Linked DNA regions of Coturnix japonica. The protein of the gene in region 1 binds, or shares a complex with, the protein of each later gene. Links are inferred from orthologs where the notes say so. Each region holds a gene or a part of one and is shown in the gene's direction. Other genes may lie near its edges.

Evidence for each region.
Region 2: CPSF2 (region 1) and CPSF3 share a complex: the UniProt entries of both Homo sapiens proteins name them as parts of the cleavage and polyadenylation specificity factor (CPSF) complex. The link is inferred for Coturnix japonica from reciprocal best matches to the Homo sapiens genes CPSF2 and CPSF3.
Region 3: CPSF2 (region 1) and CPSF4 share a complex: the UniProt entries of both Homo sapiens proteins name them as parts of the cleavage and polyadenylation specificity factor (CPSF) complex. The link is inferred for Coturnix japonica from reciprocal best matches to the Homo sapiens genes CPSF2 and CPSF4.

The regions. Positions count from the first base shown.
Region 1 is NC_029520.1:40,441,439-40,443,741, forward strand, and holds part of CPSF2 (cleavage and polyadenylation specificity factor subunit 2), read left to right. Parts: coding exon 1-247; intron 248-1,078; coding exon 1,079-1,213; intron 1,214-1,318; coding exon 1,319-1,411; 3' UTR 1,412-2,303. UniProt on the Homo sapiens protein: Component of the cleavage and polyadenylation specificity factor (CPSF) complex that play a key role in pre-mRNA 3'-end formation, recognizing the AAUAAA signal sequence and interacting with poly(A) polymerase and other factors to bring about cleavage and poly(A) addition.
Region 2 is NC_029518.1:87,815,993-87,819,643, forward strand, and holds the end of CPSF3 (cleavage and polyadenylation specificity factor subunit 3), read left to right. Parts: coding exon 1-92; intron 93-692; coding exon 693-801; intron 802-1,149; coding exon 1,150-1,248; intron 1,249-1,792; coding exon 1,793-1,887; intron 1,888-2,217; coding exon 2,218-2,305; intron 2,306-2,673; coding exon 2,674-2,743; intron 2,744-3,009; coding exon 3,010-3,106; intron 3,107-3,183; coding exon 3,184-3,288; 3' UTR 3,289-3,387; downstream 3,388-3,651. Other genes in the region: IAH1 (isoamyl acetate-hydrolyzing esterase 1 homolog), read left to right, coding at 3,577-3,651. UniProt on the Homo sapiens protein: Component of the cleavage and polyadenylation specificity factor (CPSF) complex that plays a key role in pre-mRNA 3'-end formation, recognizing the AAUAAA signal sequence and interacting with poly(A) polymerase and other factors to bring about cleavage and poly(A) addition.
Region 3 is NC_029529.1:4,430,510-4,434,749, forward strand, and holds the start of CPSF4 (cleavage and polyadenylation specificity factor subunit 4), read left to right. Parts: upstream 1-1,290; 5' UTR 1,291-1,401; coding exon 1,402-1,504; intron 1,505-2,816; coding exon 2,817-2,867; intron 2,868-3,256; coding exon 3,257-3,409; intron 3,410-4,203; coding exon 4,204-4,240. Other genes in the region: pentatricopeptide repeat-containing protein 1, mitochondrial, read right to left, coding at 704-1,290. UniProt on the Homo sapiens protein: Component of the cleavage and polyadenylation specificity factor (CPSF) complex that play a key role in pre-mRNA 3'-end formation, recognizing the AAUAAA signal sequence and interacting with poly(A) polymerase and other factors to bring about cleavage and poly(A) addition.

The DNA.
Region 1 (2,303 bases):
TGCTGAGTTGGCATGGATAGATGGTGTCCTGGACATGCGGGTTTCAAAAGTGGATACGGGAGTTATTTTGGAAGAGGGAGAGCTGAGGGAAGATGAAGAGTTAGAGATGCAGGTGGATGTGCCCTCTTCAGACTCTAGTGTCATTGCTCAACAAAAGGCCATGAAAAGTCTCTTTGGTGACGATGATAAGGAGATGTGTGAGGAGAGTGAAATCATTCCTACTTTGGAACCACTGCCACCTCATGAGGTACAGAAACTTTCCTGGTTTAGACTAATTCTGTTTGTTTTTTTTTCCTGAGTTCCGTATTCTAATACTGTTACTGTTGTTTCAGATTTTAAGCTTTTCAGCAAGCACTATTGCATCCAGTAATGGTGCCTAGAGTACAGTTACCTATTGGAGTACAGTTATCTATTGGTCAATATTAGATTGCTGTGTTCCATATTTGTAATTAATACCTGTGGTTTTTTAAATCAGTTGATATTTAGTTTTTCTTGGGTTCCATTATGTTTTGTCGATGCCATGGGAAGTATATAATGTACCTAAGTAGACATATGTCTGAAATTCTTACATCTCTGCCTCTGAGTGATCTGAAAGCTCATTAATTTTTTCATAATATTACTCTTAAATGAAAATTCTTGCACGTGTGAATAGAGAATTTCATTTGTTCAGTTAATGAAGTACTTCCTACTCCTAGAATTACTTAAGGTACTATTGAAGAGTCTTGAATGTAGTCTGTTCTAGGAGCTAGATAAACATGAGACAACTCCTAAGTCTCTTCAGATTCATGACAACTAGTATGGAAGCATGTACTGATCAGCAGTGCAGCTTACTGCAGCTCTGTCCCTGGCATAACTTGGCTCAAAAGAGTCTTCAATATGTGAGCTCAGAAAGAAGTCTCTTGCTTGACAGATGACTTCTGAGGCTTCCCATCCTGGAATTGTCTTGCCAGTTTTCTCCTTTGTAGTCCTTTAGCCTATCCATAGGCCCCGCTGCTGCCAACACAATAAGGAGATGATCTTTGGAAAAATGAAAGGCAATAAGTAGCAGAAGTTTTAAAACTGTTTTCATTGTTTAAAGGTTCCTGGACATCAGTCTGTGTTTATGAATGAGCCAAGACTGTCTGACTTCAAGCAAGTTCTCTTGCGAGAAGGAATTCAAGCCGAGTTCGTAGGAGGAGTGCTTGTGTGCAACAATATGGTGGCTGTTCGCAGGGTAGGTGATCTGTGTCTTAAAACTCTTTGCTAAATAACATTCTAAATGAAAATTAAGCTTCTTGTTTGTTTAAAGGTATTGAATTGAAATGTCTTTTTGTTTCAGACTGAAACGGGGCGCATTGGATTGGAAGGCTGTCTCTGTCAGGACTTCTATAGGATAAGAGAACTTTTATACAAGCAATATGCTATTGTCTAAAGGAAGCTCTTAAAGGTGTTTTGCTTGAACTTCTGAACGTGTGGAGGATTTCTCTCTGGACTTTTTGTAATTTTCTAATTTATACAAGGAAAAAGTAATTCATAAAGATCAGTTAAGTACCCTGGATGTGTAAATAATGGCCATTGTTGCTCTTCATAAATTTGTTGGTATGTTCCATGTTCTTGACTTTCAAACTATTATGACTCATCTCCCACATAACGTGTTAGAAATGAGTTTATGACCACAAACTGTTTCTCAGGAAGGCTTCACATTGATAGAATGTGTTTTGATTTGTTAGATTCCCTGCCAAAGACTACAAAACAGATATAAGTCATTCTTCTGTTCTCAGATAAGTTTATCTAGGGAGTTGTGGTTTCTTTTTTTTCTCTCTTTTTTTTTTTTTTGTTAGTTTTATGTTATTTCAACAAGTTTGATTGATAGAAGATTGTCTTGAGTTGTCTTGGTTTTTTGTTTGTTTGTTTTTGGTTTTTTTTTACATTTTAAATGGGGTCTAGTTAAAATATATTTTTAAAAGCCCACTTAAAGCTGTCTACCGGTATGTTCCACCAGTGTTAATCTGGCTGCATCTTAATTTTGTTGCTTGTCTCCTCTTAATGACTTGTTCCAGTACAGCATTTCATATTCTGTATGAAGTATTAATCTGCAGGATCAAAATATTACTTTGAAAAGGTAAGTTAAGAAGACTGGAGAAGATCCTCAAGCAGCTAAAAATCTAGCAATTATGTCCATCAGAGTAACTTTGGTACAAACTTAATGAATTTGTACCTTCTAGCTTTTGCAAAGTTGTGCCAACTATCAATTATTTTAAATTCTGATTTTTGATACCGTGGAAAACTAAAGCCTTTATGTACGCACTGCTGTTTGTTCAGAG
Region 2 (3,651 bases), on another chromosome or scaffold:
ATGAAGATAACGACGAAGTTCATATAGAAGTTCATAATCCGAGGAATACTGAAGCTGTGACGTTAAACTTCAGAGGAGAAAAGCTTGCCAAGGTATGAAATCAAGTATTTTCATCTCCATACAATGACACTTGTTTTTAATCCTATGAAACTAAGTTGTATGTTCTCTTCCAAGCCTCTAAGGTAAATTGGGTTTGGATTGCATGTGTTTTACAAGGTCACAACATATATGAATGTTTTTGTTTAGCTAACGTAGATCTATTCTGCTACCCATAACCTGCTGGTGTTTTCAGTCCAGTCATCCCAGTCTGTTTGCTGTGTGATCTGAACAGCGCTCATCAATTTTCTCCTAACAAAGAATATCAATTCCAGTCATGTTGGAGCACTGCGCTTTGTGCATAAATAATATGATAGGCTTCATTTACATTTCAGGAAGATGCTGTCAAACACGCAATCCATCCGTATATACTAGAGGAGAATAATTACTTTGGCTGAATTAAATAATTACATGCTTGACTGTAATCAGGCGTTTAGAGCTGCTGTCTTTAGATACTTCAATCAGTGAGACAGCTTGTAAACAGGGTGCTCTAGCAGAGGGAGGTCTGTAGGCATGAATGCGGTGCATCTAGTAAAATGATTTCAAAAAACAGCTTAAAAATAATGTTACATTAGCTGTGTTCTCCTCCTTTTCAGGTGATGGGCTCTTTAGCAGATAAGAAGCCGGAGCAAGGACAGAGAATTTCTGGAATCCTGGTCAAAAGGAATTTTAACTATCACATCCTTTCTCCGTGTGACCTCTCCAGTAAGTGAAGGCGGTAACTTACTTAGTGGATCATTGAAACTCTCTGTGTCCTTCTCTGTCATTATGTGCAGTGTTGGCTTTTGGATGCTTGTTTGTTACTTTGTGTTGGAGGAAATCATTGGACGCGTGTCCATTGGTGTCAGTTTGGCGTAGTTTTGCCTACATTTCTGGGCTGTTGGTGTGAGAATCAAGGATTTCCATTCTTCACAATCGGTCCTTTTGCACCCTCTGCCTTCATTGTTTTGGTGCCGTTGTTTCTCTGTGCTGACAACCTGATTGTTTTAGAAAGCAAACTTAAAGCTTTTAAAGTAAACTGTTGTTAAGACATTCTTTTAACAATTCTTTCAGATTATACGGACTTGGCTATGAGCACTGTGACACAGACACTGGCCATTCCATATACCGGCCCTTTCAATCTGCTCTTTTATCAGCTGCAGAAGCTTACGGGTGTGTATTCAGAAAGAAATGTTTGTGATTTGTTCTTAAATCAACTTACAGTCTTTGGAGGGACCTTCTGAGTGGGAACTTCTTTGCTCTGCAGTGCCACAGTTTGGTTTGTGTCTTACAGCTCTCGTTATGTAGTGCAGCTTCTGCCACATCCATCTCACGAGTGTGACAAACCCTGTGTGGGCATCCTAATATAACTGTAATACAAATCCATGAGCATACAGCAATGTTGAACCTCAGCTGCTTTTTGTCTCCTGTCAGCCCCAAAGTGAGCAGCTCAGCCACCCCGATGGAAAATTTAGCAAGTGATCAGCCTTTATCTCCAGCCCCAAAGCAGAACGCTTAATGGCATCTATTTAATAAAACTAAGACAAAAGAATTCTTTCCTTGTGTCAGACGACATGTTCTGTTCCTCCCCACGAGCTATGAGAATCCAAAGCAAGTGCAATGGCCAATACTGCACACTCAGAAAGCCACGCAGATACAGTTAGTCCTGTTCTCAGTGTCATTTTATTCTCACTAACCATTTGTCGCTGCTTCTTAGGTGATGTAGAGGAAATAGAAATCCAACAGAAACCAGCCCTGAAGGTCTTCAAAAGTATTACTGTAATCCAGGAACCAGGCATGGTAGTCCTCGAGGTAGGCACTGGGTGGGGGGAAACAACTATTTTCATTCTCCAGATCCTGTAGAATAGTATCATGTAGATGCTGAGCACAGTGAACTGTTTTAAGTAGCTTTCTGATGGATCATGAGCAGAGTGAAGAGGAGAAGTTGCCTTTGGCCATGCTGCTGTGTTGATGCATGTTATTTCACTCAGCCAGTTTCTTCTCTTGCAGTGACTCAGTGGCTACAGTGAGTACAGTGACACTCCAAGAGGGCCATGAGTGCTGTTTTATGTTGTGTTATTTATTCAGCCCCAACAACAGGCTGAAATCTGGGATTTGATTTCTGTTTTGTCCATCTTCCAGTGGGTGGCCAATCCTGCCAATGACATGTATGCAGACACCGTGACCACAGTGATACTGGAAGTTCAGTCGAATCCCAAGATACAGAAAGGTAGGTAGCACATGCTTCTTCAATGGAGGTTTACTGCTGAATTTTGGACATCAGGCTTCAGGAGTTTTAGAACGCCTTAAAATGGATTTCCTGCTGCTGTGCTTCACCTCAGGGAACTTCTCAAGAGTTTTATGTTCCTTAAACACAGAATTACATGTACAGCTTTGCATTATTTGCAGCATGTGCACATGTCTTATCTATCAGTTTCTAGTTGGCGTTTGGTGTTCAGTTTTATGCTGTTCTCTGTCCTCTCCCACACTGTGTGATGTACTTCACTACAGCTAAAGAAAACAGAGGGATTAGAAACGAGTCGCGGGGATTTCTCCCACTTTGAAGTAGATGAAAGTAAAATGACTTTTTCTTTCCAGCTGCAGTGCAGAAAGTTTCCACAAAAGTAGACACGGAAGAGTATCGCAAGAGAGTGGAAATGATGCTTCAGTAAGTCAGTGGATCTTTTTCTAAATGAAAGCGATCACCATTATTTGTGTATATAGAGTAGTTTTATTACAGTACCACTTAAAGGTAGAGTTAATGTATTGACGCTTCTGTGTAGGCCTGGAGTTAAGTAAAGATTGAGGTACCCTGAAAAAGCTCTCGGTGTCATTGAGACTTCAAATCCAGGGCCTTTGGAAGCCTAAGGTTAATGGAGAGGAAATGTGTTTGCTGTTTGGCAGTTACCTGATGTGAGCCAACCTTTGTTCCAGGGATATGTTTGGAGAGGACTGTGTGAGTTCCAAGGAAGGCTCCATTCTGTGTGTCACCGTAGATGGCAAAACTGCAAACCTCTCACTGGAAACTCGGGTACGTACATGAAGCACTGGGAGTTATTTACCTGTGTGTGCTGTGCTTGTTCTCACATGCTTATTTTGTGCTCTCAGACGGCTGACTGCGAGCCAGGCAGTGAGGACGATGAATCCCTGCGAGAGATGGTGGAACTGGCTGCACAGAGGCTGTACGACGCCCTCAGCCCCGTGTACTGCTGACCTGTAGATACGTAGGACACATACAAAAAGCTTGTAACGTTCAAACTTGGACTTTTTGTTTTTTATAAAGTGAATAAACGTTTTCATCAGCAACTCAAATGCGTTATATGAGTGGGAAACTAAGCTCAAAGAATGGGTGTGCAGTGTTACCCGTGTCATCTGCATTAGTGCTTGTGGATCATAATAAAGTGCGGTTCCCTCACATCTCCTTCCGGAGCCCTTTAAGGCTGTAGCCTTCCCTGTCGGCCCCGCCTTCCCCCCGCTGTGGTAGGCGGACATCCGCCCGCCATGGCGCTGGCTGAGGCGGTTCGTGGCCGGCTGGTGTCATGGCCGCGCGTGGTGCTGTTCGGGGACTCCATCACT
Region 3 (4,240 bases), on another chromosome or scaffold:
TGAATAGCCTTAGCTGTAGTCAGAAATCCTACAGAGCACAGAATTCCTCATAAATTCTTGTTTTCCTTCTTTTAATAATGATGATAATGAGTTGGAAAAGACCTCTAAGATCATCAAGTCTGATCTGTCAGTCCTTCAGTGCCACATTTCCACAGTTCTCAAACACCTCCAAGGATGGCGACTCCACCACCTTCCTGGGCAGTCTGTTCCAACACATTACCACTCGTTCCAAGTATGTTTCCTAGTATCCAACCTGAACCTCCCCGGCACAACTTGAGGCCATCACCTCACATCCTATCACTGCTACCTGGATCAGAGGCCAACTCCCACCACACCACAACTTCTTTTCAGAGAGCAGGAAGCAATGAGGTCTCCTCAGACCTTGAACTGCTTCCCATAAGACTTATGCTCATGGTTTTATTGCCATTCTCTGGACACACTCCTGGGCCTCCACATCTTTTTAGTAGCGAATGGTCCAAAACTGAACAACAAGTACTTGAGGCATGGCTTCAAAAGTGCTGAGTGCAGACAGACAGCTATAACAGGAGGCAGGAGTAGCAACTTTAAAGGCAACTTTAACCTCAGTTAAAGGCCAAAGGGACCTGATGATCACTTCAAGCCCCTCCCAAGCGAACCATTCTAATCCTAACAGCAAAGTGCTCGTTCACAAGCACCAAACGTTACTATAACCCCCAAATCCCACCTTGTCCTCCTTGATGAGGGCCTTGCACCTTAGGAAATACCAGTACGGCGTGTTCCTGCGGCCGTACCACAGCCTCCTCTCCCCTTCTTCCTCCCCATCCTCTTCAAGCTTCAAGTTCCGAAACACCGCCGTGGTTTTGTGGTAATATTTCCTATGGGAGAACTTAGCAGACAGCGTCCCGAACTCCACACCTTCATCATCATCATCATCATCATCATCACCAGCTTCGCCTTCAGCACCGCGCACCTCAGGGGGCGGCTGCGACGAGCTCAGCGCCCTCAGGCCACGCAGTGAAGGGAAGCTGGGCCTGAGGTACCGGAACAAGGCGGAGGGAAGCGGAGCAGCGGCCCGGCAGCACCGCCAAGGGACGGGCTGGAGGCTGAGGAGGAGCCGTGCAGGCCGCATCGCGAAGCGCGGCGCACACACCGCCCCGCCCCCTCGCGGCCACCGTAGCGCCACGGCGCATGCGCGGCAGGAAGAGGCGTGTTCAAAGCGGCGGCCGGAGCCGGAGGTGTTTTCCCGGCATCCTCCGGGACGGGCGGGCGGCGCGGCGCGGGTCGCGCGCGGCCCCATTGAGTGTTGAGGCGCTGCCGAAGAGAAGCAGGCTGGGTCGGGCCAGGCCGGGCCGGGCCTGGCCACAGCCGGCCCCAACCATTCCACCCCTTCCCACCCGGTGCCGTCGCCCCCCGGCTGCAACCATGCAGGAGCTCATCGCCAGCGTGGACCACATCAAGTTCGACCTGGAGCTGGCGGTGGAGCAGCAGCTGGGGGCGCAGCCGCTGCCCTTTCCCGGCATGGACAGTGCGTGTGGGCGCCGGGCGCGGCATAACCTCTATCCCTGAGCCGGGGTGGTGGGACAAGGATGGAGCCTAGAGAAGGGATCAGCCTAGAGAGAAGGTTGTGGGGTGACCTCAGTGCAGCCCTTCAGTACCTGAAGGGAACTTAGTGCCAGGAGGGGAGTAAACTCTTGGAAAGGGCTGACAATAGCAGGACACGGGGAAATGGTTTTAAGTTAAAAGAGGGAAGATTTAGGTTGGATGTTACGGGGAAGTTCTTCACTAGGAGAGTGGTTAGGCCCTGGAACAGGCTGCCCAGGGAGGTTGTGGATGCCCCGTCCTTGGAGGTGTTCAAGGCCAGGTTGGACGGGGCCCTGGGCAACCTGATGTAGTAAAGGTGTATGTTTGGTGGCCCTGCCAGGCAGGGGGGTTGGAACTACATGATCCTTGAGGTCCCTTCCAACCCGGGTCATTCTGTGATTCTGTGGTGGTGGGGATGGGGCTGTTCCGTGCCCTGTGCTGGGCTCCTCGTGTCCCCTCAGCTCCTGCTGCCCTGAGGTGCTGCCTTGGGCCGGGTGCTGTGTGTCTGTAGCCGTAGTTTGTGCCGTGCTGGGATGGAAGGAAAGTTGAGGCGTTCATGTGAATAAACACTGCTGTCCCACGCTGTTGTTTGATTGCCCTTTTGATAGGTGAGGTGTTTTGGTGGCAGGGAAGGTGTAGGTGTGTTCACAGTCTGGGATCTGAGCACTTTCCTGCATTAGTCTGGAGATGGGGGAGTCAGGGGAGGCCACATCATTCCCTACAACTCCAGAAGGACATGGTCAATGTGGTGAGAATGGGCTGGTTGGACTTGGTCATCATAGGGGTCTTCAACCTGTCCACTGATGCAAGTAGTCCTGGGAGACTCAACAGTTTGCTGACGTTCTGTGTCAGTGCTGCTGACCTCACATTGCTCCCTTGAGTGCTGTGATTCCTGTAGGTCAGTGAGGGATAACGCAGCAACAACTGGGTCAGGCTGATCTGCAGAAAAGACTTTGAGAGCCAGGGCTATAAACATGTTTCACTACAGCAAGTGGTTTAATAGTCATTGCCCAACCTGAAGTCTGAAAGGCTATAAACAGAACTGCAAATTTCCCTGCTGTGTATTCATTGAGGAGAATACAGACATTTGTGAAGGCCAGAACTGAACAAAGAATTCATGCAGGGATGTAAATTCCTCAAACCAAAATGCTGTTTCTCTTTTGAATTTGAGGACTCAGTCGTTTCTTCAGGCAGAAAATACTTTGGAAGCTCCTACTAAAGTTTGTTAACGTTTATTTTGTTTCTTCTTTCCACAGAATCAGGTGCAGCTGTCTGTGAATTCTTTTTAAAAGCAGCATGCGGGAAAGGCAAGTTGTATTTCCAGTACACTTACACTCGTATTGCAGGGAGGAGAAATAGATTTGCTGGCACGTTCTATGTTAATCATGGCTTTTGTTAACTCCACAAATTGTGTGGGGTTTGCTGTGGATGTGGCTGTTTTAGTGTCTATGGGTTGCGGCTGCTGGGATTTAGACATGGAGACTACAGTGCTCAGCTCATTAGAGGGTAAAACAGGACTTGTCTGGATGTCCTTGTTTATCGTTACCATTAAGAACTGAAGTCATAAGGAAAAACTGAGTTCTTCTGAAACCTCTCTTGTAGAGGCGAGTGAAGCGCTGCTGTTGCTGTGTTCCTGCTTGTACTGCAGAGTTTAATTGTTCCTCTTTTTCATTTCCCTTGCCTCATCCTTGTGCAGGAGGTATGTGCCCATTCAGACACATCAGTGGGGAAAAGACTGTCGTTTGCAAACACTGGCTACGAGGACTATGCAAAAAGGGAGACCAGTGTGAGTTTCTGCACGAGTATGACATGACCAAGATGCCTGAGTGTTACTTCTACTCCAAATTCGGTAAGAAACATTGTAGCTCCTACGTAGTGTTCCTTGCAAGCGTGGGAGTCTGGTGAAGAAGATCCTGGTACATCCTTCTTATTCCATCCTCAGAATATTTCAGTTCTTCCATGTCTGCTGACACTGTTCCATTGTAGTTTTTCAGGTCTGCTTAGCTCTTTTATCTTTTTATTCCCCTAAATTCGCCATGTGTTGTAGATGTTTCCTCTCTCAAGAGCTTGTCATGTTGGGGAAGAGGGAGGAAGTTCACATTGTTACTGGGTTTTGTGCTTTATGTTCTCTTTTTTAGTATGAGTTGAGTAGGCTGAGCAGTTGGTCTTTGCATGACTCTTGTTTTGGGGAGTTGATGAGCAGCAGAGGGCATGGGGGTGCAAAACTTTTATGCACTTGCTTTCCAGCTCTGGAGATCTGGACATAATGAGGCAACTTGCTGTCAGAAACTTACAGTCTTGTAGGTTTCCTTGGATTGAGGTTAGTGTGCAATTTGTAGTTTCTCCACACTTTTGGTGCACTAAATGTTTGGTTTTTGTTATCATGACTCTCTTCCAAAAATCAGTTTCTGCATTGTTTTTAAAAGCACACATAAATAATCCAGTCTGGTAGAAGTTCACTCACTAGGGGTGAGTGCTTGGTGTTCATCCTCTAGGTTAAGTCAGGCAATAAGACCGTTGTGCCTGAACTTATGAATGCTGGTAACAGCTTTGTGGGAGGTACATGATCCAGGTAACATTTTAGGAATTACTTGATCTTGAACCTGCATCATTAACTAAGAGATGCGTTTGCCTTTGGTACAGGGGAATGCAGTAACAAAGAATGCCCATTCTTGCACAT